Oryza sativa Japonica Group: one gene and its partner. The protein of the gene in region 1 interacts with the protein of each later gene in a pairwise test. Links are inferred from orthologs where the notes say so. Each region holds a gene or a part of one and is shown on either strand. Other genes may lie near its edges.

What was found.
Region 2: the proteins of FHA domain-containing protein DDL (region 1) and uric acid degradation bifunctional protein TTL interact in binary tests that used the Arabidopsis thaliana proteins (3 or more experiments, as listed by UniProt). The link is inferred for Oryza sativa Japonica Group from reciprocal best matches to the Arabidopsis thaliana genes DDL and TTL.

Annotation. Positions count from the first base shown.
Region 1 is NC_089039.1:27,208,563-27,224,575, forward strand, and holds FHA domain-containing protein DDL, read left to right. Parts: upstream 1-3,224; 5' UTR 3,225-3,353; intron 3,354-3,500; 5' UTR 3,501-3,507; coding exon 3,508-4,404; intron 4,405-5,006; coding exon 5,007-5,038; intron 5,039-5,324; coding exon 5,325-5,391; intron 5,392-5,578; coding exon 5,579-5,636; intron 5,637-5,791; coding exon 5,792-5,884; intron 5,885-6,828; coding exon 6,829-6,943; intron 6,944-7,309; coding exon 7,310-7,357; intron 7,358-7,474; coding exon 7,475-7,520; intron 7,521-7,623; coding exon 7,624-7,694; intron 7,695-8,327; coding exon 8,328-8,367; 3' UTR 8,368-8,654; downstream 8,655-16,013. Other genes in the region: probable auxin efflux carrier component 5a, read left to right, coding at 2,373-2,527, 2,616-2,784; uncharacterized protein, read left to right, coding at 13,460-13,920, 14,563-14,683, 14,773-15,049, 15,198-15,358. UniProt on the Arabidopsis thaliana protein: Involved in the microRNA (miRNA) and short interfering RNA (siRNA) biogenesis. May facilitate DCL1 to access or recognize primary miRNAs. Binds RNA non-specifically.
Region 2 is NC_089037.1:15,993,688-16,010,776, forward strand, and holds uric acid degradation bifunctional protein TTL, read left to right. Parts: upstream 1-7,882; 5' UTR 7,883-7,951; coding exon 7,952-8,098; intron 8,099-8,216; coding exon 8,217-8,290; intron 8,291-8,878; coding exon 8,879-8,936; intron 8,937-9,019; coding exon 9,020-9,121; intron 9,122-9,429; coding exon 9,430-9,589; intron 9,590-10,400; coding exon 10,401-10,864; 3' UTR 10,865-11,045; downstream 11,046-17,089. Other genes in the region: cytochrome c oxidase subunit 6b-1, read left to right, coding at 1,146-1,199; histone H3.3, read left to right, coding at 6,111-6,182, 6,268-6,344, 6,436-6,526, 6,624-6,794. UniProt on the Arabidopsis thaliana protein: Involved in the last two steps of the degradation of uric acid, i.e. the hydrolysis of 5-hydroxyisourate (HIU) to 2-oxo-4-hydroxy-4-carboxy-5-ureidoimidazoline (OHCU) and its stereoselective decarboxylation to (S)-allantoin, a major ureide compound.

The DNA of each region.
Region 1 (16,013 bases):
GGACTAGTTTGTGGTTGAGAAAATCCAAGAAATACCACCGACAATCAACCAAATCCAAGAAATACGATATATGAGTGTATGTTCCATAAAATATCATCGTACAAGAGGATTATCCTAGAAATGCTATAGCCATTAAGATTCTGTTAGTAGCCTCCCGTTAAATGCTATAGGATAAACAACACATCTAATGCTGCAGGATGGACTGCTAACGGAACCTTAACGGTGATGACATTTCTAGGACGAATTCACTTGTACGATGATATTTCATAGAACTCGTATTTATTGATGGTATTTTTTTTGAAATTTGGTGCTTGTCATTTCTTGGATTTTCTCTTCAAAAGGAATAAGTTCACTTTGGGTCCCTCTATTTGTCGCCCGGTCCGATTTTCGTCCCTTGACCGCAAAACCGGATACGACCCGTCCCCCAACTTACGAAAACTGGGCAAACGAGGTCCCTCTGCGGTTTTAAAGGCGGTTTTGGCTGATGTGGCACCTACATGACTTGTTTGACTAGTTCTCTGTCCCACGTGGCATTTGACGTGGCGCTTACGTGGCAATTATATCTTGAAAAAATAATAAAAACCATGGGCCCACCTATCAGCTACACACAAAAAAATAATTTTAAAATAGCGGGGCCCACAAGTCAGATAATAAAAAGGTGGGGCCCACATGGGCCCCACATGTCATCCTCAGCCCCACCTTCTTTCTCCTCTATCCACATCTCCCTCTCTTCAGCTCTCTTTCTCCCCTCTCTCTCGCGGTGGAGAGGCAGTGGTGCTCGGCGCGCGGCGGCCGGCAGGAGAGGAAGGGGTGGTGGGAGGTGGCCCTGGCTGCCGCAGTCGTTGAGCCCACGGGCGTCGCGCTCTGCAGGCGAGCGTGTGCAGAGGAGCGTTGACTCGGCGGTGGGGGGAGCGGCCGCGGCGTCGTCGTCAGGTGCGTCGCTGTCCGCGGTAGCGCCGCCGAGGCGGGCGGAGCTGCCGGGTGCCGTGGCTGCTGCAGTTGGCCGACTTCCTCCACCGATGGGGTGTCGACAGCCGGGCGGGCGCGGTCCTCTCTTGCGTCGGCACGGCGGGAGCGGGAGCGGGAGCGGCAACAGGGGAACCGCCTTACCCCGAGCGGCCACGGCGAGTCAGGGAGGTGGGCGGCGCCACCGGTCGCCGGGCTGCGGTGGCGGCTGGGGTCGTGTCGTCGGTGGGCGCGGGCGGCGAGAATGCGGTGGAACATGGGGTGGAGGAAAAGGGGGAGAGAATGACATGTGGGCCCACGTGGGCCCCACCTTTTTTATAATTTCTGTGTAAAACTGACATGTGGGTCCCACAAGGTTTATTTATTTTTCAGGTTTAATTGCCACGTCAATGTCACGTGGGACGGAGACCTAGTCAAACAAGCCACGTAGGCACCACGTCATCCAAAATCACCGAGGGACCTTGTTTGCCCGGTTTCGTAAGTTGGGGGATGGGTAGTACCCGGTTTTGCGGTCAAGGGACGAAAATCGGACGGGGCGACAAATAGAGGGACCCAAAGTGAACTTTTTCCTCTTCAAAATTATGGGGGTGGGAATAAGTTCATCTTAGGTCCCTTAACTTGTCAACGAATCCGATTTTCATCCTTCAACCATAAAACCAGGTACAATGGGTCCCTGAACTATCAAAACCGGTGCGGATTAGGTCCCTCGGCGGTTTCGATGGCGGTTTTGGCTGACGTGGCGTCTACGTGGCTAGTTTAACTCGGTCTTCATCTGATGTGGCATTGACGTGGCGCTTACGTGGCAATTTGATCCAGAAAAAAAATAAAACCTATGGGACCCACGTGTCAGTTTCACACAAAAGAATAAAAAACAATGGGACCCATGTGGGCCCCACATGTCAGGCTAACTCACCCCTTCCCATCTTCCTCCTCTCCCCAGCTCCCCTCTCTTCATCTCTCTTGCGCCAGATGCGGATGGGATGGGCACCAAAGGCGGCCGGGCTGGTCCTCGGCGGTGACGGAGGGCAGCACAGGCGCCTCCCCCCACTCGACCGCGCCGCTGCGGAGCTCCACCCGAACGGCGACGTAGGACACGGTCTCCAGCCGCGACGACGCGATGGTGAAGGGCGCGGCCAGGGGCACGTTCAGCGGCCGCGCCTCGGCCGCCACCACGTCAACGGAGAAAGTCTCCTTGAGGGCATCGGACCCGAACGCCTCCGCCGGCGCGGGCGGTGTCGGTGACGGCGAGACGGCGCGGAGGCGGGTAGCGCCGGCGGGTGGTTGCTGCCTGCTCACCCCCGCCGCCGGTGCCGGGCGATTGCAGCAAGGTAAAGGGAGGAGGAAGCTGCCGCTGGCAACAGGGAGGGACGGCGCAGTCGCTGGACCTCCTGCTGATCCAGTTCCTGATGCCCGACAACGACGCGTGCCGGCAGGCGGAGGAGCAGACCCGGCGGCTGGCGTGGGACCCGCAATTGGTGCCGGTGCTCGTGGATACAAAGCAGCGGTGGAGCTGGTGGTTCATGGCCGTTGCCCTCTCGATCTTCACGGCCTTCCATGTACGGTGAGGGGGCGCAGCAGCTCGTTGTCCAGCTCTCCGTCTTCTAGGCCATCGTCTGGCTCACACTGCTGCTGTTCGTGCTCGAGGTCAGGAAGGCCGCCATCGGGATGTACGTCGACGGCACCTCGTCCTCCGACGAGTCGTCGTCGACGACGACGACGCCGGCCAGCAAGGACGTCGAGGCCAGCGCCGGCGCCGCATCCACGGTCGTCGTCGTCGTCGCGGCGAGCGGCAAGCCGGAAGCAGAAGAGGAGGGGTGATTTTGACTGACATGTGGGGTCACGTGGACCCCGCCATTCTTTTATTAATTTGTGTGTGAAACTGATATTTAGGTCCCACGGAATTTATTATTTTTCCGGATCAAATTGCCACATCAGTGCCACGTCAGATCGTGATCGAGTCAAATTAGCCACGTAGGTGCCACGTCAGCCAAAACCACCATCGAAACCGCCGAGGGACCTAATATGCATCGGTTTTGATAGTTCAGGGACCCATAGTATCTGGTTTTACGGTTGAAGGACGAAAATCGGATTCCTTGACAAGTTAAGGGACCCTAGATGAACTTATTCCCTATGGGCCACCACAGAGTCTTCCATATGGGCCCTCATCTAACTGGGCCGCCGTCGCTTAGCAACTTGGGCTCTCTATTGGGCTTTCGCGGTCGTCTTGATATTGTACAGCCTTCCCGGACTCCGCCTCCGGTTCCGGATTGTTCTCTGAAGCCGAGCCCTCACAGAGAAGAAACCCTCGGTTCGCGGTCGCCGCTGGCCGGTCGCCACCGGCGATAACCTCGCCGCCGACGACTCCGCATCCGCTTCCGCCGCACCCGGTACGCTCCCCTTCCTCCCTCCCTCCCTCCCTCTTTTTTTTTTTGGCGGCTCCTCGGACTGAGGCCGCACAAAACCCTAGCGATTCCGCGATTTTTCTTCGTAGTGCTGTTCTGAATCGGTTTGGTTTGGGGGTGATGCTGCTCCAGGTGGGGAATGGCTTCGGCGGTGGAGCGGAGGGAGCATTCGCGGAGGTCGGGGCGCTCGAGGTCGCGCTCGCCGGCGAGGGACCGTGGCTCGCCGCCGCGCAGGCGGAGCCCGCCTGCTCGGAGGGAGAGGTCACCGGCTCCGAGGAGTCGCTCGCCTAGGAGGAGGTCTCCTGTTAAGACTACTAGCTCACATAGGGAGAGGTCGCCTGTTCGGAGGAATGGCTCACCTAGGAGGTCTCCTGTTAGGAGTATTGGGAGGTCGCCACAGAGAGATAGGGTGAAGGAGCAGGTCAGGTCGCCGAAACAAGCTCAGTCACGGTCACGGTCTCCGTCACCTGCCAGGAAACGGGAGTCTCGGTCGCCCTCACCACGGAGCAAACGATTGAGAAGGGCTCAGAGTGAGCGGGAAGGTGCAGATGCTACTGAGGGTGACCGTCGGAAGACCACCAGCAGGGAAGAGCGGGACTCGGGGAGGTACAGGGAGCGTGATGAGGGAAAGGATGTGTCAAGGGATAGAAAGACTGAGAGGGAGGATAGTAGGGGCTCTTTTAAGGACAGGAAACTGGATCATGATGATGATAGGGATCACTCAAGAGATAGAAGGTCTGATCGGTCGGGTGCTTCAAGGGAGACATGGTCAAGCCGAGATGATGAAAGGCGTGATTCAAGGGGTAGAAGGTCTGATGGGGATGATCGAAAAGTCAATTCCAGGGAGCAAAGGGCAGATCATGATGATAGAAGGGATTCTGCAAGAGAGAGAAGGGCAGACCGGGATGAGAGCAATGGTGAATCAGGGAGATCATCTAGGCGTGGGCGATCAGTGTCTCCAGAAGAGCATAGGCATAGGGGTAGACGTGAATCCCGCCAGTCACCGAGGTCATCTAGAAGTGCAGCACATGGTGAGGTGTGTAATGATATCTGACCCTTTTCTTATACATATCCACCTGTTAGTTGGCGTAGTGTGTTCTTTTGTTTCATGATTGTCCCTTGTTTCTGTTCTTTGTCTGATAACCTGCACCCAAATGAATAGAAGTGAAAAAAAATTACTACCTCCGTACTTGTAAAGGAAGTAGTTTAGGACAATGTTTAAGTCAAACCTTGGGAATATAAATCATGAATAACTCTCAAGTTGAGTTTGAAAATGTAAAAATTATACGAATAGATTTGTCTTGAAAAATACTTTTATAAAAGTATACATATATCACTTTTCATTAAATATTTTTATAGAAACAAGAAGTCAAAGTTATGTTTTGGAGACCGTGTCGCTGTCCAAAACGACTTCCTTTACGAGTACAGAGGGAGTACGCCTTGTTATCAGCATTGTTGACACTAAACTTGTGGGTCTGTATTCCATGTAAACCCTTCTTGCTTCAGAGTTCAGATTCTAGAGGATATAATTAGTTGCCCGCTATCCTTTTCATTTCATACCAATTTGGTTTCTTTTCATGTTTGCTATCATATATGGCCCGTTAGTTGCAACCTAAACTTTGTTTTGATTTATTTCAGGATACAAGCTCTGTAACAGATGCAGCGTCACGGTAAGCATGCAAAACTCTATATTCAATACGAATTGTAAATTTTTAGTAGAAGCATTGCTTGCAATTGTTTTCTTGTTGTATCAATGGGGCTACGCGTGTTATGGGTGTCATACCCTCTTGCTGGAATGGTTTTGAACTTTTGATGCATATCAGCATATCCGTTAAGCAACTGTAGCAGTAGTACCTAAAACAAACAAATGTATATTTGACCAGCTACATGAGCGCAATGTTTTTGTACCTGAAATTTTAGAACTGAAAATATTATATTTGATACTATTTTGGCCAGGAGTGTTGATCCTGATTCTTTGGTGAAGATGAATGCTACTGCAGAAGCTCTGGAAGCAAAAGAAAAGGTAGGGCATACTCCATGATGAAATTTAAAATAATAACAATCTTCCTTTTGTTGTGTACAGTTTATTTATATGATGCTTGCTGTTTTCGCAGATACAAAATACTTGCCATGTCAGCTTTCTTTTTATTTAACCTTTCTCTTCATTTGTCATACACTAGTATTTTAATAATTTCATTGGTGTTTTGCAGCAAAAACCATCATTTGAATTGTCTGGAAAGCTTGCTGAGGAGACTAACAGAGTTGCAGGTGCTGTTTTGAAGCCCTATATCTTTCTTTTTGGTCATGAACCTAAATGTTACACTTTACATTAATGTTTGTTTAACCACCAATGAGAATTTGTAATTCCTTGTTCTTTGCTGTATTGCATTGTCCTCAGAGTTTGCAATTTACTTCCATTTCAGGTGTAAATCTGTTGCATTCAGAACCTCCAGAGGCTCGCAAGTCAGATATTAGATGGAGACTCTACGTCTTCAAGGGTGGTGAACCACTCGAAGGTAGTTATTCTTGACTTGTTACTCTATATATGAAGCTAACTTTTTTCCTTTTGTCATGCTATCTGTTCGAGTTAATAGTTTTTAATAAATAGAAGAAAAAAACATTTTTTGGATTTGCCAGTCTGTAGAGGCATGTTCTTGTCTAGTTCAACAGCTGTTTCTCTATTTCCCTTCCCAACATGGCCAAACCAAAAGTAGGTTCTGTTAAAAGCAGTAAGCTTAACTGACTGTGATGAAGCGAGTATGGAACATAAAAACATTTTCGAACTAGCTTAATTTCGGAGAGTTTTGGAACGAACCATTTAACGTGAGCAAAGGCACTAACGAGTGGGTCACTATGATATGAGCTTGCATTGAATCAGTATCATTATTTACATTTTCCCCGGGGAGTAAAAGGGCTCTTTCTTTTCTAGAGTAAGGTCGATATGTGTACACGGCACAGCCACCCAAGTTAAATGCATGCGTGTGTGCACGTGCCTAACTAGAGTGGAGGTCTAGATCTCATAAAAGGTGTTCACATGCTTTGAGAACTAAACATGCCCTTATCTGTGGCTTAGTTGTCTAGCCCTGGGGAAAGGAAAGAGAACCTTTGTTCAATCGATGGATCAAACACAGGACCATTGGTTTGTAATAATGAAGCCTGCCTAGTGCTTTGCTATTGTTCAGTTCCTTACGATACACTGGCTTGTGAATATATCCAATGATACTGTTTGAGCATTGGTATTGTATGGATAGCTCACTAGTTTTAGTTTTGAACGGAAGTGAAATAACTGAAGTAATGAAGTTTATTGTGATGAACAGCAAGTTAAAGGTTGGGCATTATAGTGGTATAAATTAAATGTGTACGGTGGTAAAAAAATTCACGTGCTTACATTAGTGATTAAATACTTCAGTTTTGCTCTTCTTGTTTGACTGTGTCTTGTGATGCTATCTTGATTGAACAGAACCATTATATGTTCACCGGATGAGCAGCTACCTTTTTGGAAGGGAACGGAAAGTTGCAGACATCCCCACAGATCATCCCTCCTGCAGTAAGCAACATGCAGTTCTTCAATATAGGTAAGCATAGCAATCTTATTGTTTTTTGCCTTTACTAGCATATTGCCTGTGCGTGGCAACAGGATTTTAAATAAAGAAAATTATCATTAACTCATTATTATCATCATTTTCTGTGTATATCGCCCCTTAATTTATGTATATATTTGTTACTGACATGTGCACTGTCCTATTTTCTTCTCACAAAAAGTAGGAAGTTGGTGGTAGGGGTGGTTGACATGTAGGCCCCCCTTTTCTATTCCAAAAAAACTAGGGAGCTGGTGGTGGGGTGGTGGCAGATTCACCACTCACCATCACCACTGCTCCCTTTTAAAAGGAGTATAGATTGAGAAATAATATTGTGATTCACTCATCTCTTTGCCTTTTCAGACTTGTAGAGAAGGAGCAGCCAGATGGCATGATGTCAAAGCAAGTGAGGTACTCCTTGCTAGTAACGCATATATTTTTTTTAATAACAAGTACTAATAATTCATGATTATCTTAGTTCTGTATGCTAGTCTAGATTATGATGTTTTTTGCTGCTTTGTTTGATAGGCCTTATCTGATGGATCTTGGTAGTACCAATGGAACTTTCATTAATGTAAGTCCTCCAGTGATACTTTTACTACTAATCAGATACACTAGTCGCATTTCTAATAATATTTTCTACCCAGTCAATATTTATGTTTTGATTTTTTTTTCAGGAGAATCGTATTGAGCCCAGCCGTTATTATGAACTCTTTGAAAAGGATACCATTAAGTTTGGCAATAGTAGGTATGATCAATTAAAGAAAGCATCACTTTTTTGTTTATTTGTATATTGCTCAATGTATATGTATCTTTGGTATGTGATGACTTAAATTAACAACTTATTATGAAAGTGACAGTCTGGCTTTTGGCATTCTCTTTAATTAGAGCTTTTATTTTGATTTGTGGTACTCTTGGGATAAACATTTTTTCTCCAATAATCTAAGTAATATCTTTGTAAACTACGCCTAATTGTTTTTCTCAATACAATTTCCAAATGAATCTTTAGGTGGTATATTAATGTTTATAAATATCAAGGAATCTCAAAATGTCTACATTATGGAAACATAATTTTCCTTTATGGAGCCTTGACTTGCAAGCTCAATCATGTATAAATGTATAACATATGTTCGGAGCTGTGGAGATTTTGAAGTTTGCACACAGTGCCCCTTCCTAGTTCATACGGTTTTCATCCTTCAGAAGCCTCATCTTTTTGTTCTTAGATGGATGGTACTATTTCTAATCCATATTTAGGGCCCTTTTGAGTCTAGTTGCCCAAAAGTAAATATAATATAATGATGATCAGCCTCTGCTTCTATATGCCTCCTTACTAACCCCGTTCATCTAAAATCTGACAAATGTTTTATTGTTTTTTTTGCAGCCGGGAGTATGTTTTGCTTCATGAAAACTCGAAAGATTGAGGATTGAAATTGCTGGAAACTTTGCTCCATTGTTACCTGAGATTTTGACGTCCCTCTGCTGCTTGTTGTTTGTACTATGGTTTCAGTCGCCTGAATATTTTTCAAGAATGCCTGAAGGAACATGGCAGAGGCCGGTAATCTTCCGTTACATTTATAGGATTCTAGAGCCTAGACTTGTTTTATTATCCAGTGGTTGATCTAGTACCGCTACTGACTTCATGGTTTTGTCAAATATAATGTCATATTGTCACTGCCATATCATAATTATAATCTGCAATTTGTGACTAGTGAAATGTTGGCACTCTAATCTATTTGAAGTCTGAGAATCTTGACACGAGATGAGCAATAATCTGATATAGCCAAGCACTGAAGCAGTTCTGTTGGCTCAGATTTTATCATTTAGAGGTAGCCAGGTAGGGGATACTCTAGCTTCATTACTATTCTACAGTTAAGCAGGCATCGAGAAACAAAGCAGGTAGCCCACTTTGGGCCCAAAAAAAAAAAGAGAGCATCTTTCGACTGTGCACATGGTAGATTGCTAGTGTATAATGCTCGAAACCTCGACAACTCGTCAACTACACAAGGTCAGTGGTTTCTAGCCGCTATATATACTGACCGTGTTCCCAAAACCTTTCTCCATCCGTGTACCGATTGATCTGCAGCAAGCTTCAGCTTGCTCCTGCATCTATCGATCATGGATAGATCACCGTCTCATAGTCTTCTCCTTCTCCTCTGCTACCTCCTCTTCGCTCAGCCGTTGCAAGCACGGATGCTAGGTAGGCAACATAGACGCTTTCACTCGCATGCATCATGTGAAAAAAGAGAGAGAGAGGAGTGCATTTGGTAGCTAGTAATTTGTCATTCACTGACCAAACGCATCACGCATTGACCATGTGAAAAATACTACGTATAACAAATGGTTTGATAGCTAATTTGTCTGTCTGTTCTTCACTGACGAAATTTCTCCTGCTGTTTTTGTCGCTTCAGGAGAAGCCTACTCCTCCCATCCACATCTTCGTGCGTCGGCGTGGCGGAGCAGCGTCAGCACGGATGACGGTGGTGCGCTGGTGAGGCCGTCGCCGTACATCCCGCCGTCGCCGAAGCACCCAGCGCCGCATCAACACGGCGGAGGTGGCGCGCCGCCGCCGATGTGGCGGCCGGTTGCTGTTGCTCCGCCGTTGGCAGGACACGATGATGGCCAACCTGCACCGCGACAGCGTCCCCCAAGCCCGGCAGTATACACGGTTTAGACGTTTAGTTATTTGTTGTAACCTTGATGTTACAAGGTAGTCACTGCCATTCGTGTGATTGGAATGCCGTTTTGTTTGGGAAATTTGAGAGCCATCGGGTGAGAATACGAAAAACAAGCTAAATTCTACTTATTCTTAGGGCCTGTTTGGGGGAGTTTTTAGCTACTGCAGCTTCTCCCAGAATCAGAAGCTCCCCTAAACAGTCTAGCTTTTGGTCTAAATTATAAGAAGCTGTAGTTGTAGAATCCAGAAAATAAAAAGCTAGAAGCTGGGAAACCCAGTTTTTTCAGATTCTTAGAAGCTGGCAACCAGCCAGCTGTTTCTCAGAATCTTAAGCTCCCTCAAACAGACCCCTAGTTCATTTTTCAGATTCTACAACTACAGATTTTCAGAATCTGGGTAAAAAACTGGACTGTTTGAGGGAGTTTTTGGCAACTGGAGATTCTAGGAGAAGTTGCAGCTACTAGAAGCTCCTCCAAACAGACCCTTAGAATCTAGATGAAAAGCTAGATTGTTTGAAGAGCCGAAGATGAAATTGCAGTTACAAGAAGCTCCCTTAAACATGGCCTGATTGGCTGATTATGTTGTCAATTATCAAAACTGTCAGCTCCTCGCCATCAGGCTTCCAAAACCTGCTAGTGACTGGCTGTAGCCTGTAGCAACTAGCAACCGGTTTGTGGTAAGTGCATAAAAAATCGTTGAATGCTCGCATGGTTTGATGGTTTGAATGCTCGCATTAAGATTCATGTGACTGCAAGCCAAAAATCTCACCAATTCACGGCCAGATCGATCGCGATCGAGTGAGCGCAGAAGTTTGACACTAGCTCCGGTCATTCACGCACGTGGGTTTTCGCGGTTGCTTCCTTGCTGTTGAACATTTTTTTTTCTCTTTTGTAACTAATAGCTGTTGAACAGTTATGTTGCTAGCAACCTTAGCTCGCAGAGAAAAAATGCGTACGGTAGCAACTAACTGACAACATACTGTCATTCGTGCTCCTTTCCTGTTACTACTCCCTCCGTCCCGGATTTTGAGTTTTTCCATACTACGTTTCACCACTCGTCTTATTCAATTTTATTTTGCAAATATAAAAAACGAAAAGTTGTGCTTAAAGTACTGTAGATAATAAAGTAAGTCACGAATAAAATAAATAATAATTTTAAATTTTTTTAAATAAGACAAGTGGTCAAACGTTGCAAGTAAAAACTCAAAATCTCTCATATTATGGTATATATATTATGGTACAGGGAGTACTAAACATTAACGACGACTAGTTGATCCAAATTAAATATATATTTTTTGATGGTTCAGCAATACTAAGGCTGTGTTTAGATCCAAAGTTTGGATCCAAACTTCAGTCATTTTCCATCACATCAACCTGTCATACACACACAACTTTTCAGTCACATCATCTCCAATTTCAGTCCTTTTCCAAACTTTACAACGATCTAAACACAGCCTAACTAACAAAACCGTTGACTCACCAATCGCCACACACATTGTCGACAAGTACAAGCGCCGTACGCAATTAAACCCTACCTATGTAAAGAGCTCGCCGCGAGCGCTGCATCTTGCAAACACACATGCATACATCTCTCGATCCATCGATCGAATCGATCAGCTTCCTTCTGATCTCCTTCATTCCCGCCATGGAGAGTTCGTCTCGATCTCCCTGCATTTGCAAGCTGCTGCCGATGCTGATGCTTCACGTCGTCCTGCTCGCTCCTCCGCTGCTCCAAGCTCGGCCGCTCGCGCTCGGACATGGACATCGTCTGCTGGAGTCGTCGCCGCCGGTTATAATGCTGCCGACCGACGACGGCGAGGCCGTGGCCGCCGCCTCGCCGGGACTGGATGTGCCGGGACAGCTGGGACGATCCGGCGGGGCGCCGCCGCCGCCTCAGTCAAATCGGCCGGTGACGCCGCTGGCCGGGGTCGACGGCGGCGTGTCGGGGGGGAGGGCGCCGACCAATACTCCGCCGTCGCCTCAGCCGGGTGGGTCGACGAAGCCGCTCTCCGACGACGACGGGAAGCCGCCGCTGGGGATCGCTCCGCCGTCGCCGCAGGGAAACAAGCCGCCTATCACGTCTCCACGTCTCCGAACAAGCACGGATCCCCCGCTCCGGCCGCCGGCGCCGGCGGATGATGCCGCCGGTTTGCTCCGCCTGATCCGCGACGCCGTCGAATACGTGATCGGCGAACTCGAAGCCTGATCGATCGAGACCGAGGAAGAAGATGAAGTTATATAAACTGTACCATTAATTACCAACTGTATGAATATATGTCTAGCTTAAGTAGACGAGCACATGTGTATATTTATTTTGCATGCATGTTAATTTCGTCACTAGCTAAGTAGGCTAGCATATATATCTATCGATCCTCATGGTAGTATTTCGACCTTAATTAACATGTATCTTTTCGATGTTTCAATAAGTCTGAAATTCTGAATCAATAAAAACTAAGTTGTATTCAGATTGGTGTCTTAATTATAAGTTTGCCATGATTTAATAAATTTCAAAATTTGTAATTAATAATATCCGGTTGTACTTAGTTTGGGTCTCACAATTATAATATTTTCAGTTTTGATAACTTTATAGAATTTGGGATTAATGCTTATTGTCGACGGGCTATACTCGTTGACGAGATTTGTAGAGTATACTCAAATAGTTATAGAAAAAATTAAAAAAAAAATAGTAACATCAATTGTGATGATATAAGTCTATACACAAACATGCATGACTAAATTTGATCTATAACTAAAGAAACAAAAATAATAAAATCAGACAGTGACTAGTCCCTGTACAGTGCAGATAAAATTTGTTATTTTTTTTCTTTGTATGTCGATTAAATTTAGACTTGTATGTTTGTATAGTGTTTTATATTAACATAGCCTATCTTATTAAATTTTATAAAACTTTTATATGACTGTTTAAATTACATGTATACACCTAGGTACCATGTGTAGAAAATACTTTCCCGGTGATATACCCAAAACGAAGCGCTGCAGCTTGCAACACACGTACACATCACATCTCTCGATTGGCTTCCTTCTCCTTCCCGGCTTCCCGCCATGGAGAGTTCGTCTCGATCTCCTTGCACTGTTGCTGCTGCTGATGCTTCACGTCGTCCGGCTCGCCCCTCCGCTGCTCCAAGCACGGCCGCTCGGACACGGCGGACTACGTCTGCAGGAGTCGCCGCCGGTTATAATGCTGCCGACCGACGACGACGGCTTGCTGAGGACGAAGAAGAGCCGCTCTCCTCCGCCGTGCCGATCAGTCTGGCCGACGACGACGGCGTGCTGGGGAGGCCGCGCCGCTCTCCTCCGCCGCCGTCAACCTTGGTACCCCGGTGTGCCGCGACGCACATGCAGCTCGCCGACGACGGTGGCGGCTTGCCGAGGAGGCAGTGGCATGGCCCCCGACACCCCGGTGCAACCGCCCTCCGATGGCGCGCGTGTCGCGGTGGGACGGCCGGCAGCACGCTCCGCCGACGCCAGCGGCCGGGAAACCCGCCGCGTGGACACAACGTCGCCGTCGTCTGCGCCGGCTGCCGGCCGCCGCTTTTCTCCGGGTGATCCGCGACGCCGTGCAATACATATGGTCGGCGGACTCGGAGCCTGATCTGTCAGAAGTATAATTTCCTTGTTTTAATTTCAATATGTTTATTTGTATCGTTATATGGTATAGGATCAGCTGAGCAGGAGCCAAATGTACGTGTGTTGATTTCCGTGACATATGCATAAATTTCTTTTCGCATCGATATATATATATCAGGACCACTTTCTTTCTCCCATCGAGTTCGCGAGGAGGAAGAACCCTAACCCTAGACTGCGATTCGGCGGGCGGAGATGAGAAGGCCCACCATAGAAGAGAAACTGGCGACCTACTCCATGTTCCAGGTTCGTCAGGGATCCACCGTCCCGATCACCGCGCGGGAATGGCTGGACTCTCTGCCGCCGCCGCCGCCGCCGTCGCCGTCGCAATCGGGGGCCAATTCCTCCACCTTCCTGCCGGCGGCGGCGGGGTCTGCATGCGAGGCCCCGGCGAGGAAGAAGAGGACGCCAGGGAGGTGGAGGAGGATCCCTCGCACGCTACCCCATCCTTGCCTGAGAAAGAGGCCCATGACATGGGAGGAGCTTCTCGCGGACAGCTTGGACATGAGCGATAAGGCTCACTGCTTCAGGGAGGAGGATAAGCCCGCTTTCCGCGAGTCCAAGGCGCAGATGGCCAGGTTCTATCAGAGGATGATCGACATCGAGAAGAACAAAATCGAACAAATCTTCCGACCCCGCGTCCTCTCCGATACACCGTATGTTAAACCCCTTCTTCTTTCTTCTTCTTCTTCTTCTTCTTCTTCTTCTTCTTGTTTTTTTTTTTTGCTCATGGGTATGTCAACTACATCACTAAGAAAACATCATACAAATAGAACTTTCCTTTCGTAGATCCTAACACACGTGAAATTGCGCACCCATTATATTCCTCAGTACAAAATTCATGTGAAAAACTATCATTGTTTTTTTATCACTTATAAAACAGTAGTGATCACAGCAAACAAGACATCGATAATTCAGCTTAGAATAGATCTCCTAAGGACACAAGGAAGAGGTGGAGACAGAAAAGCCAAAGTTACTTTGGAGATGAATCCTGCACGATCCTGTAAATGGGTAAACTGATATTAGAACCTGCAACCATTTTAATTAATAAGAAATGTGGATTTTTTTTAAGCTGCATTTCCATTCTTGGTTACTAAAACAGTTAAATTATAAAATAACTTCAGTTGATTCATTTAGCTGGTGGTCAGAGATAGAACGCATTAACAATTGAAGTCCTGTATATGCAACAGAAATACAGAATGCAATAGTTGAAGTGAAATTAAACTTTTAAGTGAATACCTAAAATTGGTTTTGTCCAACACACTGTTGAATCTATTACTCTTTTGAATATATTGCAGTGAGCAACATTTGACCGCAGAAGAGATGGAGGCAGAGCTCGCTGGCAAGAAAGTTTGTCCCCAAGCTCATCGCTTCGCCAATTTAGCAATTAACCATTACAACAATATTGAGAAGAACATTGTAATAGCCCTTTTCCTTTTTTTGCTTTCCATGACATGATAAGTCTTAATGTTGTAAACTACTAACCTTTCTATTTTTTGTTTGTTCAGGTTAAGATTGAGCTTTGTACTGTTCTTTTATCAAACTGTTTTCATGAGGTCTGTGGGTCCACATACGCCCATGTCAACTTTACTGCCAGGGCTCAGAATGATGATCAGGCTAAGAAGAGCCTGTACTTTGCAGAGCTCAAATTGAATCCGGATCTTCTGGCAAAGAGGATGGAACGCTTTGCAGAGTTGAGCCTTGATCCTAATATTGTTGGATGTGCTGATGATATCGAGCCCATGTGTGTCGTCTCTATCCACAACCTCCAGGGTTCTTGTTTTGGTATGTTTATTATTGTCGACCAATTGACTGTATTCTGATTAATATGCTTGCTTATTTGTAATTACTGTAAGGTTATTGATGTTTGTACGTGTGATTGTAGGACCTTCTCAGCGATTTATTTGATATGTTGATGTTGCTTTAATTGTAGGTGGATGCCATGAGATCAACAGGAGAATTGATTATGTAATGACGAGGAATCAGGACTATGAGCGTTGTCACTCATGTAGTGACCGTATCAAGCATCCATATGGGACAGAATTTGTTGCAGGGCATGATAGTTCCAAGATTCCGTATTACACTGCAGGCTGATGTAATAAGAGCATATTCATTGTTGGTTTTTAGAGGGGATCCTAGAGGAGAGAGAAGTCATAGTGCTAACGGTATACATTGTGGCTATTTTTCTAGCAGAAGGTCTCATCTAAAGACCATGTAATTAAACTTTTTGAAATAGGATAGTGCTATCTATCTAATCCACGACTAAATTTTCCATTTTCAGGTTAACATTAGAAGTTTTGAGTATTCAATTAGTATAAGTATAAAATATAGTGTTGATGCTTTTGTCACCACAACGATTTACAACGGTCACTGGTCGGTGCCCCTCCGTCCAAAAAAAAAAGACCAATCCTATAGAAGACTTGTGGCTAGGAATTCTTTTTTTTTTTTACAGAATAGAACGGCTTTGTATAGAAGGCTCGAGCTTCTTTTCAAATTTGGTCAAACTTTATTATATTTCTTCCTTAGTGTCAAATTTAGCTGTCAACAGATAGATTGGAAGTACAGTGCAGCGGAAATTTTGAAGTCTCGCAATGCAATTTCTAGTTCATAGAGTTTTCATCCTTGAGTACCCTGATAATTTTATTCTTAGGTACTCCTAAATGGCATTATATGTCATTAATCCTATGTTCCCTTTTGCGCCCAGTTACCCAACAAATTAATGATTATAGGGTAGAAATAATGATGTGAT
Region 2 (17,089 bases), on another chromosome or scaffold:
AAACTCTTCTTCCTTCTGTCCCTGTAAGTAAAATAGGTACTCATGTGACTTGTGGAGATTCTTTGGTCCTCATCACAATTTTTGTATCTACTCCAGTTTCACCATAACAGCCTAGAGTGATACTGTTGCCATAACTACTTTAATGTTAGAGTTGGTGAAGTTGATGATTGGTTCCAAACCAAATCCTCACACCTCTTCTTTCATAAAAAAAGAAGCGGCAACATGTGGGCCCTTCATCCCTCCATCGGCCTGTGATTCCCCATTTAGCCAACTTTCCTTATACAAATCTCATGTATTGTCAGAAAATTTATTCGGTATTCTCCATTATAAGAAAACCAACTTCTGAATTCCCATTGCAATGCATGTGCACATAGTTCTTAAAATGATTATTTAGATATACACGACACTGCTTGAATAACTTTTTAAAATATTATTTAAAAATTTGTGGTGTCCCAGTTAATCTGCCTTTGTATTGGTTTAGCTATTAACCCACGATTTATTAAGGATCAGTGAATTTTGGTCACCTCATAATATTGGTTTGTTAAGTTTGTTAGTTGGATATGTTAATTATCTCCCGAGATTTGTTATGGCTACCTATGGCTGTTCATGTCATGGCCAGTTTTGCCCTACACGGTTACATGACTGAATGGCGATAGTAGATTCTGATTTTAAGTGCTAAATTGTTACCTTCGGCAAATGGCAAAGGCAATTGATGACTCAGTACATCTATATTCAAGAAATATCTGAGCTACACACTTAGTTGCTTCTGATAATTTCTTGAGATAATGCTATATCCTTCTTTCAACTTTGAAGCGATTGCTCTTATTGTCTTGTGTTTAGCACAACTGCATTTACGTGTGAATCTATATGTATGGTTTCTTTGTGAATGATATGTTTCAGCCTAATTACTCCACATTGGCTTTATTGGTACATACTAGCTTGTGCAACTTGGTCTATGCATGTGCTTAAAATATAAGCAAATCGATACAAGTTTTCTACTTGCACACATGCAAACCATAATTGGATCCACAATTACTTGGCTGATATGGGTACCCTTTAATCAAGATCATAGCACTATCATTTAATCAGAACTTCAATGATTTGATCCTGTACACCTTAACACCATTAACGTGTTTGATTTTCAGGTTGAGCGTTGGAATGAGCAACGGGAAAACGGCACCTTCCCTGGACCTCTGTAAGCATGTGCAAAGGGGAGAACATACGTTGTTGTCCGGGCTCTCTTCGTTGGTAACTGGCGTCATGTTATCAGAATCGGAGGGATCGTCCTTTTTTTTGGAGAGATTTACAAATAAGAGATTTCTTTTTTTATTTGAAGAATGACATCTGTTGACTCTACCTAAACGATCATCCTCTGCACTGCTGAGAAACTCACATTACAGCTATGATCTTCCTCCCTTGACTGATCTTCCATAACTGTTTTCTCAGGATAATGTGGTTGCTCGCTTGGGAAAATGTGTTGACATAAATCTTAAGTTCTTTACTTTCTCTGTTTATGTATTGTCGTCTACGCTATGGAGTTAGCGGTGCACGGCAATTAGACGCGAGTGACTTTGCACTCTACATGAGTATGACCATTGTTCAGCCAACTTGGCAGTGTTGGTAGTGCGTGTGGTTGCACCTACCAGTTGCTAAGCAGCAGGTTGATCAGGTCATCTGAAATTTGGATGACCTACTTTGAGTGCCAAAGCACCCCCGTTTGCTCTTCAGATTAGCTATATGCGAAACGGTGGGGATTAATCAGCAGGACTACTCTGAAGCAGTAGAAGTTTGTGCGTTTGTTAAAACCCTACGCTCCAGTCCAACCAAGCCAAAGGACTAATTCGGTTTAAACAACTCTCTTTGCCGACTGACAGATCAGGTAAGATGGCTGATCGGATACACGGGATAGTCTCCAATCTCATGAAAATGTAGAGAATGGTTTTGAAAATTTTCGAGACGTTAGGTTTTACAATACTACTCCCTCCATCCCCCCTAAAATGTAATGTAAGGATTTTGGACATATGAAACACTTACTACTACAATAAATCTGAACTATTAGGAAACGTCTATTCTGTAGTATTAATTTGTACTAGCATTTATGATGGAGGCTGAACGCTAGCGTTAAGAATTCTTTGAAAAAAGAATATAAAATATGAGTTTTTTGGAGTAAAATTTTCTTCCTATACGAAATATACATGCTTTAATCCTCACTAGGTTGTAAAGAATATAAAGCCATGGTTTTCAGATCTCCCATTTGCTATATTTTCCCGTGTTCAGTATAGTATATTTTCCCATGTTCGCTATATTTTTATAGCGTTCTATTTTAAACATGCAAATACGTGTTGTTAATACTCGTGAGGCTGCGTTATGGAGAGATTTTGGATGAATTTTCCGATGGCACTTAAAATGAGACAAAGTCATTAGTGTATGATTAATTGAATATTAATTATTACAACTTAAAAATATATTTATTTAGGTATTCATCAGTTGTCCATATTTTTAATAAGCCAAAACGGTTAAAAAATAAAAATTAATTTATAGGTACAACTTTTATATATGTCTCCGTGATTTAAAAGATAATATTGAAAAAGAAAAATCAACTTTAAAAATTAAGTTTAAAAATTTAAATTTTGGTTTTGGCTTTGCATTTGACTTATTAGGGTAACCGATGATGCTATTAGTTTTTTTTAAAACAACTTATAAAACACATCTTTAGCGGTTCAGGTAGCTTTGCTAACATAAAATAAGAGAGTTGCTCCCTCCAACCGAAGAATCGAACGCATGCTAAGTATTGTTAGAACTAAAAGAACAATATTATTTATTGGAAGGAATAAAAAAACATCACTAGCATTTATTCTAAAGAAATCCTTACTGCTAGTAATATTGTCTTTTATAAATTCGAAAAAAATTGAAAAAACTTTAATTTCAGATAAAACTAAAACACCTCGTAGGGGTATATATTAGTAGCACTGGCATGTTTTTCCCTTTTTAATTTGAAAAGCCATTGATACTAGTATAGGAGTACGAGATCTTCCCATCATCCCTAAAGTGTTTTTTTTTTTAATTCGATTCATGTCACTACAAATATATTATTTCAGATAAATATTATTACAATTCATTCATTGTAGCTGTGTTACTAAATTTTTACAAATTTTAAACCATGCCACGACCGTCATGTTTTCCACACTTCTTCCTCATGTGCACACGGACCCCATTGGTGCATCATGTCCTTTGTCGTTGCACCAGAGCCAAACACGAAGAAGGAGCACATAGCGTAGCTGAGTGGGGATGGGAACATGTAACCCTTGCCGCAGGTGGAGATGAAGTAGTGGTTGCTACAGAGGAGGAGCTCGAGCTCCACCGCGAAGAGTGGTGATATCTTGTTGTGCACCGTGCGGCATGACCTCACATAGTACAAGGAGTTCGGCGACAGAGAGAGCGGCACTGCAAGCAAACAAGCTTACAGGTGGAAGCTTGTCGCTGGGGATGTGTTCCAAGCATAGCCACCCAACGCTCCTCCGTGTGATGGTTGGCGATGGGGGTAGGCCCCATTGGTGTCCTGGCCACCCCCCACCACCTCCAACCCTAGAGGCTGTGCTGGGGGAATCTCGTCGATTTTTACTCCGTTGCCACTATGTTGCGACTTGCGAGGGAGAGGGAGGAGGAGGGATGGGGGCAGTGGGTCCCTGTGTCGCCAACCGTCGCGCCGCTGCTTGCATAGCTACCGCCGCTGTCACAAAACAAAAGGATGGGAAGAGAGAAGAAAGAACATGGAGAAAAGGATGGGAAGAGAGAAGAAAGAACATGGAGAATGAATGGAAAACGTGACGGCAGTACGGTTCTAATTTTTTAAAATTCAGTGACGCAGTTACGGATAGATGAATTATAAAGATATTTTTATGCCAAATGGCATATCGATAATGACATGGCTCGAATTAACCTTTTGGTTTTGAGCAATGCTACACGTATTAAATTTTTCTTACTAAACTTTTACTAACAATCATCTCAACCGTTTGATTTAAGTAGATAGAAGTTACAAAAAATCTAGATGCACTCATAGCATGACACATCAGTGTTAGTAAGAATTTAGTAAAAAAAGTTATTACGTATAGCCTTTTCCTTCGGTTTTCCCTGGCTGACGAGTGACAAAACTGCAGTTGAGCACATGCGGCAAAAGAACACCCCCAGCGTCATCGTGCCACGTGGATGGCCCCCGCACCAAATCAAACGGCCCCCGCGAGAGGAACGCCACAACCAACCTCTCCCCCTCCTCTCCGCAGCCGCACACTCCCGTCACGTTGCGGTACGGACACCCACACACACAGAGACACGCTCCGCCTCTCACTGATCCGTGGGACCACCGATCCGCGGCACGCCAGTTCGGGCCAATCAGAGCCCAGGGATCCACGCTGGCGATCCGCGGGCAGTCACTCACCCCCCGGCTCCCACCCCCACCGCCGTCCGATCGTGGCGGAGGAAACACACCCGCGGACGATCTCGGCCGTCCGACCACGCGGGCGGATATACCAACCGGGCGGGGGGTGGGGGATTCCTCGCTATAAATAGGAGGCCGCCGCTTGGCTGAGCAATTTTTCTGCGGTTTCTTCTTCTTCTTCCTCCTCCTCGCGCTCCCCCGATTCGAAGCGTGAAGAGAGGAACGGCGCTTGCGAGAGGAGAGAGGTAAGCATCACGGCGAAGTTTCCCCCTCTCTCTTTCTTTTCGTCTCGTTTGCTGCGACCCCGGCGGGGTATTGAGATTCTCCGTTGAGGTCGGTTGGTTGGGGGCTTGGGGGATTGGGTGGGTTAGGGCTTGGGGGTGGGGGGAATTTGGCGATTTGGGGGGTTTTCTCGGGTGATCTGCTTGTTTTTGCGCCGTTTCGCCCGGTGAATGCCAGCCCCGTGTGATTTGCTGGTTTGGTTGTGGTCTAATCGTCTGATATTCCAGGGCTGTGTAGTCCTGTAGTTTTTGACTAGGTAATTGGAGTGCTGATGGGATTTGCCGTTGAATTTTAGGTTGTTTAGCTCTAATTTACCTGCAACGTTTTGGGAATTAGGGTTTCTTGGTGAATTTTAGGTTGTTTAGCTTTAATTTACCTGCAACGTTTTGGGAATTAGGGTTTATTGGTGATATAGTGGATACGCATCGTAAACTTGTATTTAGGATTCCCCTTGGGATTTTGTAGGCGAGTGGCGGCTGTATGTGATTGGCACGAATTATTTACTCGGGTGAATTTAGACTAGCTATTTTATTGTTGCCGTGCCCTTTCTGGATATGAACGGATGAATATGGCGTCACTGCTCGATGATATCGCAATGTTATGATTGAAAAAGCATAGTAGTTATACTGATGCCATTGTGTAGTAGTTAGTTTGTACCTCCCCTGGGTTGCATTGCAACTTGCGTTAATATGGATACTCCGTACAATTGTTTATTGTTTACTTGGTATAGCTATGCTGCATTTTCTATATTTGTTGGGTTATAAGTTTTTGTCCAATATTTTTAATGACTTGTGCCAGAGGCTCTCAATCCTCTGTTATTAGACCTGTAATTGTAAGGTCTATTTCTCCTTCATTCTGTTTCAATGTTAGTTTGTGGATGTACAGAAATCAAGCTATGATTGATATAATACATTGCTTTGGCATAATGGCACTCTTATTTTTGTTTTATTTAGGAGAGTGCTGTGTATTAGTTTGTTCAGTTAATTCAATGTTGTATGTTTTACTGTGTCGGGAACTTACAGATGTTCTCTTTAGGTTTCTATCCATTAGTAAGTAGAGTTGTTGCTTTGCTTGAAACCATCAATTTGAATCTGTTTATAGAGATAGGCTGTTATTCCTGCTTACTATTTTTTATATAGTTACTTTGCCATCCGTTAATCAGGTTAAGAACAATAAATTGTGTCCATAATCAATGTTTTCAATGGAACTCACAAAATTTTGACAGAAACATGTTGCTTTCTTAGGTCAATCTCTAGCATATTGTTTTTTTTTTGAATTGTTACTTGTTTCTGTGGTGTTATTACAGAAAGTGCTTACTTCCACTCTAGAATTTTATTACATTTTTGTCACAGCATATTCTGTCTGTAACATGTTATTCCTTTTTGTAACATAGATGGCCCGTACCAAGCAGACCGCTCGTAAGTCCACAGGAGGAAAGGCTCCCAGGAAGCAGCTTGCCACCAAGGTATAATTCTTTTCATACTTGCCTTTTGCTTTGTTAAACACAGAGTGATTTCGACAGATGGTCTTACATCACCATCTCTGTGCAGGCTGCTCGTAAGTCTGCTCCCACCACTGGAGGAGTTAAGAAGCCCCACCGTTACCGCCCTGGAACTGTTGCCCTCCGGTTAGTATCAAATTCCTGGGATGGTTACCTCCATGTGGTCTTTGATATGCTTTTGCTTATTTGTTTTGCTACTATTGTGCTTATAAAACAGTGAGATTCGCAAGTACCAGAAGAGTACTGAGCTTTTGATCAGGAAGCTGCCCTTCCAGAGGCTTGTTAGGGAAATTGCACAGGACTTCAAGGTTGGTATCTCAAAAGTTCATGGCATAATTTGATTGCTTTCAAATTTGGATTGTTTGTGATGGCTTATCGATTGAACTTGGCTTTGTTGTTTTGCAGACCGATCTGCGTTTCCAGAGCCATGCTGTCCTTGCCCTCCAGGAGGCTGCGGAGGCATACCTTGTTGGTCTCTTCGAGGACACCAACCTGTGCGCCATTCATGCCAAGCGTGTGACCATCATGCCTAAGGACATTCAGCTGGCTAGGAGGATTCGTGGTGAGAGGGCTTAAATTCCCCTCGGCGATTCCTTTGACAAATGAAGCATGCGTCGTAGTGTTAGTAGTGGGTTTTAATCTTTTGCTTATAAGAACAATCTGAGTAGGGTGTATTTTGTGGAACAATATGTTTCTCATGATGGTGCTGTATTCGTCTTATTGGTGGATCTGTCAAAAATACTCAGCATATTGTCAGTGTGTCTGGTGACTCTTATTTTGTTAGTCTGATTCGTTTGCGTCTTATTCTAGCGGTGCTGCCTCTTTGGCACTGTGCATGGCTAGATACAATTACATTGTAATTCACCTGTCTCTAATCCGTGTTAATGTAAGTGTTCCGTTGCTGTCCGTGTGAATTGTGTGATGCTAATTTCGCTTGGCTTTGGCTCTGTAAACCACAAAGATTAGGTTCAAATTTATACTATGTTTTAACTAGGGCAAAGAATCTTGTGTGGTATAGACCGTTTTGATGATTCATGTTGTATTTATTGGTACCCTTGAAATTTTGTGGTATTCTTTGAATTTTTTGGCCGGATGCTGAGGTTATATTCAAATTCACAAAGTCACATTTTTGTGCGAGGTGGTCGATTGCTTACGAACAACAAACATATCTTAAATTTTGAATATTCAGAATTTCAGACGATTGCAGACGTTAAATGAGGAAAGTACGGCTCCCTTTGAATTGAAGGAAGGAAATATATATGAATTTTAGAGGATTTTATTCTTATAGGAATTTTTTCTACAAAGCCTTGAATTAAAGGAATGAACCCTATGAAATCCTATCAAATCCTATGAAATTCCTATGGAATATCTTTTGAGTCTTTATCTCTACTCAAATTTTTGTGTTTTTTCCTGTGGTCCAATCAAACGCGTTTTTTCTGTGTTTTGCAATCGTCTGTTTTACACTTATATTTATGTTAAAATTCTATATTTTTTCTATTTCTCTATTTTTTTATTTATTTGATTCAAAGGGGCCTACACGTGATTTCCTTGAGAATAGAAGCCCACAAGTCCCAGTGGACCCTGCACCAAACAGCTTTTATTCATTCCAATTCCAAGAGAGGAGAGAAATATAATTATATAGCACAGCACATAAGAGTACTAGTGAGTAACCAGTGAGTAGTACGCCCGGAGCTCGCATCGCATCACCGGCTGAGAGAGATCCTAATTCCGAGATGGCCACGACGCGGGGGCAGCTGCCCGTCGAGGACGTGCTGCGCGTGAACGGGAGCCGGCGATTCGCCGCCGCGCTGGCCGCCGCCTCCCCCTTCGCCTCCCTCGCCGACGCCCTCCTCGCCGCCCGCCGCATCTGGCTCAACGAGGTAGGTATTATTATACTCCTACCTTTCTAACCACCACATCCCCCCGCGGTTGATGATGATGATGATGCTCGCTGCTCATGGCTGGATATGGTTTGTTGGCCCGCCGATCGGATCGTAGGTGGACGTCAACGGGTGGCTGGAGGCCTTCGCCGCGCACCCGGCCATCGGCACCACCTCCTCCTCCGCCCCCAAGTCGGTGCCTCTCTTTCCTTCTTCCTTTAGTTTTTTTAGTGGAGTAGTTTTTTTTTCTTTTTGGGTTTGTTTGTTGTCGATCTCCACTGTCTGTCGCCGAGAGCGGATTGATTTGCTTAAGAGCTCCTAGAAGGAAACTCCCTCAGCCAAGATGCTTTGCTCAACTTGTTCAAATCATCCATCCTATGGAGAAATTCACTCTGCGGCGTTATCAGTTTTGACGAATAGAGAGATCTGAATTATCAATGCCCGTACTGGCTTACAATACAGAGAGGCATAGCCGCATAGTACATGTTCATGGTGTTCTCAACTACCTTAATTTACAGACCTCTACAACCTTACATATTGTGCCACTAATGTAAGGTGGTTCAAGACGAGTCTAGTCTGATATATAAAATCACACTAGCCAAAGCCAATAAACAAATGAATAAAGAGAATCAGGTAGTTTTCATCAACAAGTACACAAGGGTGGACAAGTAGAAAGTGCTTAATTGGTGGTTGGGAGCTCTTGCATTATTTGAGTGTATATGCCCTTTAAAAGCTAGTACCATGGTAGGAAAATTTTGATTTGCTTCGTGGGGGTATTAGGTGGTGCAAGGAGGAGCAATCAGCAGCGCTTGCAACTGCCACTGATTCGACCGCGCAGGTGCTGCAGCTTTCTTTGCCATCATTTTCTTGCATGTTTTACAGTACTTGCAGGCTCAATATGCTTCTTTTCACCTGCTGTAGGAGTTGGCAGATTGGAATGCCAGGTATAGGGAGAAGTTTGGGTTTGTGTTCATGATATGCGCGTCTGGGAGGACTGCCCCTGAGGTCTTAGCGGAGCTTAAGGTCTGGATATGCTCTTCTATTACCTGATTAGTATTCTGTGCTTATTTATCTCTTTTTAACTAGCGCTCGTATGTTTAGATGATTGTTCTCTATGAGTAATGACGAACTGTGACCTGTGGAATAACAGTAAAATGAGAGCCATAGAAGTAACACTGTTTCTAAGGGATACACATGTTAAATTTATCTCTGACACTGTTTGCTGGATAACCTATTTCTTAGCATGACAAGCATTTCATATACAACTAAGCTTCATATAATGACTTCCTTTCCATTGTTGAAGTTATCTTATTACCATCCTGCTCTTTCAGAGGCGCTATGAAAATAGGCCAATTGTTGAACTTGAGATCGCAGCACAGGAAGAACTGAAGATAACTGAACTGCGTCTTGCAAAGCTTTTTGCATCAGAGCCTGTTGCCCCCCCTTCTTCAACGGTTGGAGGTCCTACTAGCCAATCGGATAAAGCAGCAGGTACTGAAACAGTTTTATCTGCTGTTAATAAATGCATGCTCTTTATTCAACATATTCGAGGATTTTCCGTGTACCTATCCAATATACTTATCCCAATGGTCCTCATTAAGTTTCTTGGATTGGTAGTTCCCATGCCCACATTTATTTTTTGACTGAGCAGCTGTGCTGTGCATTTTTGGGCTTTTCGCATATAGTCTTTTCCATGACGAAGGCTACACTTTGATGTTTTCCATGGTCATGGTTGCACCTCATAGGTTAGTACATCATTTTTTTTCTCAGAAATAAGTCCTGATATCCAATACTAAAGGAACTATATTTTTTCTGACTCTAAAAAAGTAAAAAAGAAATGCAGTTCACCTAGTATTTTGGTTCACTTAATTTGCAGAAAAACGCACTGTAGTACTGTATAGATTAGTAGTTGCAAACTTTTTTTTCTGATGTTAATGAGCAACCTAGTGTTGACATGATTACACGCAGCAACTTTGCTTACTATTGACCTCCGATCCATTTTCTTATCTATATGTATTATCTCTTGGCATATAAAACTGTAACTGAAAACAAGAAATGAAGTAATTCATATGTGGAGTAAATAAGTAATGAACTAACTTTACGGAATGAGCATATCCTGGAAAGGCATCTCCTGGGCATCGCTTATCATCAATATTTGAAAGTTGAACTAGCTGCGACAATTAACCTGTACGTTATAATTAACATCACTTTATTTTCCTTCGCATGTTGTGTTGTGGAAGTGTAGCATACTACTAATGGTTTTATAATTATTCTGCTTTCTTACCATTTTATTGTTCAAAAGACCGCATGCGGATTATTGGAGCACATCTTGGATCTCACACCCAGCATTCTGCCAATAAAGCTCCTGAAATTACAGGTAGCTCCAACCGAACTCGCCCTCCGATCACAACCCATGTTTTGGATGTCGCTCGTGGATCGCCAGCATCAGGAATTGAAGTTCACCTAGAGATGTGGAAGGATGCATCAACACCCCCATCATTCAACAACAAAGATTTCAATGGATGGGCAACCCTGGGCTCATCGGTTACGAACAACGATGGCCGCAGCGGTCAACTGATGGACATTGTCAATAACGTCGCTCCTGGTTTCTACCGCATAAGTTTCAACACCAGCAAGTATGCACCTTCAGGGTTCTTCCCTTATGTGAGCATCATATTTGAGATAAAAAAGAACCAGACGACCGAGCATTTCCATGTCCCTCTGTTGCATTCTCCTTTTTCATTCACCACTTACCGTGGCAGTTAAGTTAGCCTGTCCCCAAGTCTGCGAGATGCTGCATATTCCATCTGAAAAGTTCGTGTGTAATATTCCTCTTGGTAGCAAAATGTCGGGAAAACAAGTTTGCTTTGGTAGCAAGGGTTGCCTGTTTATGTGCACTGACATTATGATGCAAGAATAAATTTGATATACTAAAATGTATACAGAAGCTTGATGTCTATAGTACTAAAGTTTCAGTGCATGGTTTGGTACGACACATGCCACTTAGTAGATGGATTATATTACACTTATCAATCTATACCTGTATGACCACTTTTTTGATTCATTTGCCATTTTTTTCCTAATCCAAGACTTGAGTTGCAGATACTGATATTATTGACTCTGGAAAGATACGGGGAAATATCTGCTGAAAACCATCAAATAAGTGAAAACTTGTTAAAGGCATCAAAACAAAAATTTTACAAGTTTATATACTAAATTCCATTCAACAAACAGGTTTGTGTAATACCAATGCAAATTATTAAGAAAAAAAAACTAGATATGAAAATAGGTAATGAATTATATCACCACCACCAAATTTCAAATTCAAACTCAATTTTTTTTGAGAATTACACAGTACAACGCAGACACTCACAACGCACGCGCACTCACCCCTATGAACGCACGCACGCAAACTCTACCCCTATGAGCATCTTCGAAGACTGGGCCGGCAAATCCTGGAGAGATTGACGAAGTCACCACAGGCGTCTCGCTGTCGACGGGTACGTCGTCTACCACTGAAAGCACAACGCCGTTAAATCCTGGAAAATTCGCTCCCATAGGGAGTTGAAGTCAGGACCTCAGGTGCTACTGAGGCTCTTGTAACCACTAGGTTACAGACCCTTTCGCAAACAACTTTTAATTAAACAACTTTCGCAAACTCAATTTTAGGGCCTGTTTGGTATAACTCCAACTCCTAAATATAACTCCAGGAGTTGAGTTTGGAGTGGAGTTGTGGAGCTGCCTAAACCCAGCTCCACAACTCTAGTACATTTTGTGAGAGAGCTCCACCCAACTCCACTCCCAGTTTTGGTGGAGCTGAAACTGTTTGGCTGAGCTCCAGCTCCAGGAGGGGTGGAGCTGGAGCTGGAGCTGTGCCAAACAGGGCCTTAGTTGGAAGAGGAAAAAAACAACTTTTAATTAAATACAAAAGGCACCAAAATAATTAAGCGAATAGCATGTATCTGTTCTATCGGCAAGCAACAGACGCACCAACCTATCAGGCCAGGGTAACTAGTAAAATTTAACGATTTGATATTATATTCGTTGACAGTTTAATTCTATTAGCACTTGAAGATATAGTACCTACAGTGCAATCTTAGAGTTTTTTTTTTTTGAAAAGTGATCCCCATATGTTATTGTATATAGATTAAATCTCCACGAGAAATCGTTTTAAGTTTGTGGTTGGACTCGTTGTAATTTTTGTTTCATTTCTAATTAATAAAATTTGAAACTGTGGGGGACTCCCGTGCAATGATTGAGGTAAAATAAAATTCTCTCACTGTACCCTTCATCACTAATTCACTGCCGTTGCCACGCCACATCTTCCCCCATCCCCTGCCTTCGGGCGCTGAACGGTGGTGCAGTCAAGCCATCGTCACCGTCAAAAAAAAAAAAACAGTGGCTCACATTCGTGCATGTATACATAGAGTAGAATGGGCCAGCCCATTAGTCCGTGCAATCAAGCCAGCAAATGAGGCCTAGCCAGGTTGGCGCATTATGGCGAGAAAATGTCCGCGGTAATGGAGTCGCGGAGGGAAAAATGGCATCTTTACTCTATTTTGGCGCCGTAATTACATAATTATCTTCGTTTACCCTTTTCACCTCCATTTCTCTTCTTAGGAACCCCTCCTCCCCGGCACGCAAAACAAAGCACCTATTATTGTATGATTAATTAAGTATTTACTATTTTTTTTAAAATAGATTAATATGATTTTTTAAGCAACTTTCATATAGAAACTTTTTTTTTAAAAAGTACCGTTTAGCAGTTTGAAAAGCTTGCGCGCGGAAAACGAGGGAGATAGGTTGGGAAAGTGAGGTATTGAACGGAGCCTTAGCTGTAAAAAGAATTTATGCCCTTTTCTTGTCACCTCTTCACAGCCTAGTTTTGAGATGCAACAAGCTTGTGATCGGTTAGGTATGGCAGAAGAAACCACTTGAAGACCACGTATTTGCCACCGTGGTTGGTCAGTTTCTACGAGAGAGATGGAAGAAAAGGTGGATGGCGAGCACCATGAGTCCATGAGGCAAATAAATACCATCTCTATACTTGTCATTCTTCAAGCATGGCTGTATTTTCTCTGTAGTAATAATCTTATGGAGGTAACACTGGTTTCGAGGTTACAAAGAGGTATGCAAATAAGAGGAAGTCTGCTGGTAGTTAGATCATTTAGATATGTTTGCTCAAAAAGAGGGTCATCGGAAACAATATAAAAGAGGTTATTTAATAAAAATGTCCTAGAGCTGAAACTAGAACCGGCTGTCAAGTAAGAATTGGCCTTATACTAGACCATGACTGATCTTGTTCTAGACCACAATCACATCCTTTATCCACGAGAAACATTCCACCTAATGTCATCACAAAGGAATAATTTAGATTTGCAACCTTTTAAAATTGAGACAGCCGATGACTCCGGAATTGGACCAAAAGCTGCACATGAGCTAGCTAGTCGTTAAGTTGGTGGAACATTTAATCTTAGCTACACCCTTCATGATCAAAAAAGTTATTTGCGTACCAAGCGACGGAGGGAGATGGCATATGGTCAAGCCGGAAGTATGTTGAAGTATTTTCAAGTCAAAATTGCTGAGAATCCATCCTTCCAATATGCTTTGCAAATGGATTGTGATGAACAAGTAGCAAACATATTTTAGGCTGATGCTAAAATGATCATAGACTATGCACATTTTAGTGATGTCACTTTTGGTACTACTTTTGGAACAAATAAAGAGAGTAGACTTTTGGTGTCTTTGTTGGATTCAATCATTTTCGAGAAACAGTAGTTTTTGGTGCAGCTCTTATGTATGATGAAACATTTGAGTCTTTCAAGTGGTTGTTTGAGACCTTTATAAAATCACATAATGGCAAGCAACCTCAAACAATTTATACAAACCAAGATAGTGCAATGGGCAAAGCTGTTGAATAAGTGTTCACAGAAGCATGGCATGGATTATGGACGTTCCACATAATACAGAATGCTATCAAGGATTTATCTCAACCGAAGAATGAAGGCTCAAGTATTTTATCTGATTTTAGTGCTTGTATGTATGAGTACAAGGACGAGGCAAAATTTGAAGAAACATTTGACACCATGAGAAGCAAGATGCAGAAGCAGACTTGGTTATATAGTATCTACAAGTTCAAAAAAAAGTGGGCTAAATGTTATATGAAGGATGTCCATACATTGGGGATGAGAAGCACACAATTAAGTGATAGTCTGAATAATGACTTGAAAGACCATTTTAAATCTAATTTTGAATATCATTTGGTTTCTACAACACTTTGAGAGGGTAGTGCAACTGAAAAGAGATAAGGAATTGAATTCTCTATTTGAGTCGAGGAAAAAGTTGCCAAGAATTAAAATGAAAATACCTATATTGTTGCAAGCAAGCAAGCTGTACACACCCATTATATTTGAAGCATTCCAAGCTGAATATGAACGTTTCATGGCAGCATGTGCTGAAGTGTTGGATGGAGATAATAAATATCTTGTTGCAATTGGAGATGAGAATTTAGCATTTGAAGAGGAGTACATGGTTGCTGGTAATCCTTTAGAGCAAATGGCTATATGTAGCTATGGTCAATTCAAGAGGATTCGAATATTCTGTGGCCATGCTTTAAAAGCTCTTGATTTGATGAATATCAAGTCACTGCCAACACATTATGTGTTAAAGCGATGAACGCATTAAAGCGATGGACGCAAGAAGCACGTCTTGAAACTATACAAGATAACCAAGGAAGAAGCATAGTTGAAGGTCCAAGATTGGATGAAATGCTTCGCTACAAATATCTCTCATGCAAATTTCTTAGTTTGGCACATCAAGCAGTTAATTCACCATAATGTTTCTTGCTAGTAGACAACACGCTTAACATCCTCACCAAGGAAGTTGAAAATAAAATGGCTACAAGTCCATGTATTAATTTGGGAGACCCATGTGCAGCTCGTGTTGATGTTCAAGAACCAAATGTTTCACTTACTAATGCAAGCCTAAAGAAGAAAGAATTCCGTACAAGAAATTTGAAGAGGAATAGATCATGGACAGATAAGAATGGGACAAGGAGGAAAAAACAAAGTACAACTAAAAAAACTAAGGTAAGTTCTTAGTACCAATTTCATCCTAGTGCTATATTTTAGTTCATGCCAATGACCTTTGCATTATAAATTTTGTTCTCTTTCCAGCAACAAGATGTTGAGAATGCTGGACTGCAGGCACAAGCTGTAGAAGAGAGCAGTTCTAGGACCAACATCAGTGATGTTGGACAATATGGGGTCATAAATACCTTCACCCAATTGTTGATGGTAATCAAAATAATAAGCTAAACGCATAAACTTAGTGACTGCAATGTTACTAAGTTTTTTTTTTACTCTGGTTCAACTTTACATGGGCCAAACACCAATGAGCTTGGCACTGAAGACATTTTAGCTATGGCAATGCTTTTGTTCTTGTTAATCATATGCTCTAGTCACAATTTCTTTTGCCTTGTGATGTGATTTGTCACTCTATTGTGTAATGAAACATGTTTTTTAAAACTCATGAGTTGCCTTGCATTTTATTTTCGTGAAATTCTACGTATTTTTTAGGTGAATTAGCAGTTTAGCACTAATCAATTGGAGGCTTTCAGATAATGTTTAGCAGAGCAAAGGCTTTATATGCATAAGCTGACATTTTTTGGGCCAAGCCTTCTTCTATTTGCTTTGATGGACTAGCCCATTCTACTCTGTGTACACACACGAATGTGAGCCACTGGTTTTTGCTAGACGGTGAGGATGGCTTGACTGCACCACCGTGCCTTCACCCCCCGAAGGCAGAGGATCTGAATCCCCTCGCTGTGGCCTCTCCTCTCCTCCCGTCATTGCATCTCCTATCGATCGGCTAAATCCTTTCTTCCTATATAATTGGTACCCTCAACAAGTCATTTATGCTATAAAGCTCAAATTTTGTGAGGCCACATAATCATGATTATATTGACCATTAGATCATCTTGCGTCTATGCAAATCAACCATTAGATCAAGTTCTTCTTAGCCGATGGCATCTGAGAGGACCAATGCTTTTTGTCTTCCTCTTAATTACCTCATGCATCATTATATCTCTCTTTATCACTAACCACTAACCAATACATCTCCCACCCGAATCCTACACCACTACATTTGTGTCTACCTCTTTCTCATTCCCTTTAATTTTCCTAATGCATCTACTAGCCATATCTAGGTCGATCCAATGGATTTTCTTGAAATATTTATGCTTGAACGGGCTTCCTCAATCATCTAAGGAGGAAATGTCAATGGTCCAATGAAAATTTGGTTTGTCACTGTCATAGATGACATCGAAAATTTGTTGGTACAAATTACAACACTCGATGATCTTTACCAATTGCAAGGATGTCTATCTATGTCTATCTCCTATGGTGATTGGTTTTTGGTACTCTATCATGATCTTGCTTCTTTTCACATCTGATTTCTTCGTTTATCACCAAGCTTTATTATGTCAATGTACCACAACTATGGTAACTTCAATTTTTGGTGTTGTAACTTCAATTTTTGGTAACTTTAAGTATTGAGGGATTGGTCCACTCTCACATTTGACCATCTACGTCTAATTAAAAGGTTGTGCTAAATCTTTGTGTTTTTCAGACTGGCAATCACTGAATTTGTTTCTCTACAATTCCTCCCATTTACTCATAGGTGAACATGTTTCTTGAAATTACTAGATTCATGCACCCAATAGTTGTTTCTTTTAAGATCATATACCAACATATGCATGCAGAGTTATCCGTATTTTCTCTTTGTTTTCTCGCAAAAAGAAATATTTTATTAGAGATCTTAAGCCAATTTAGTACATAATAAAAATAGTATCCTGTTTGCTTACCGTTCATGGTTCTTCGAAATGGGAGTATCTTAATTGGAATCATGTCATTTCAATTCATATAGTAATCCAATGTACATATCGAACGTTCAAGCATGCTGATCATGCAATTATGATAAATTTACAGCTAT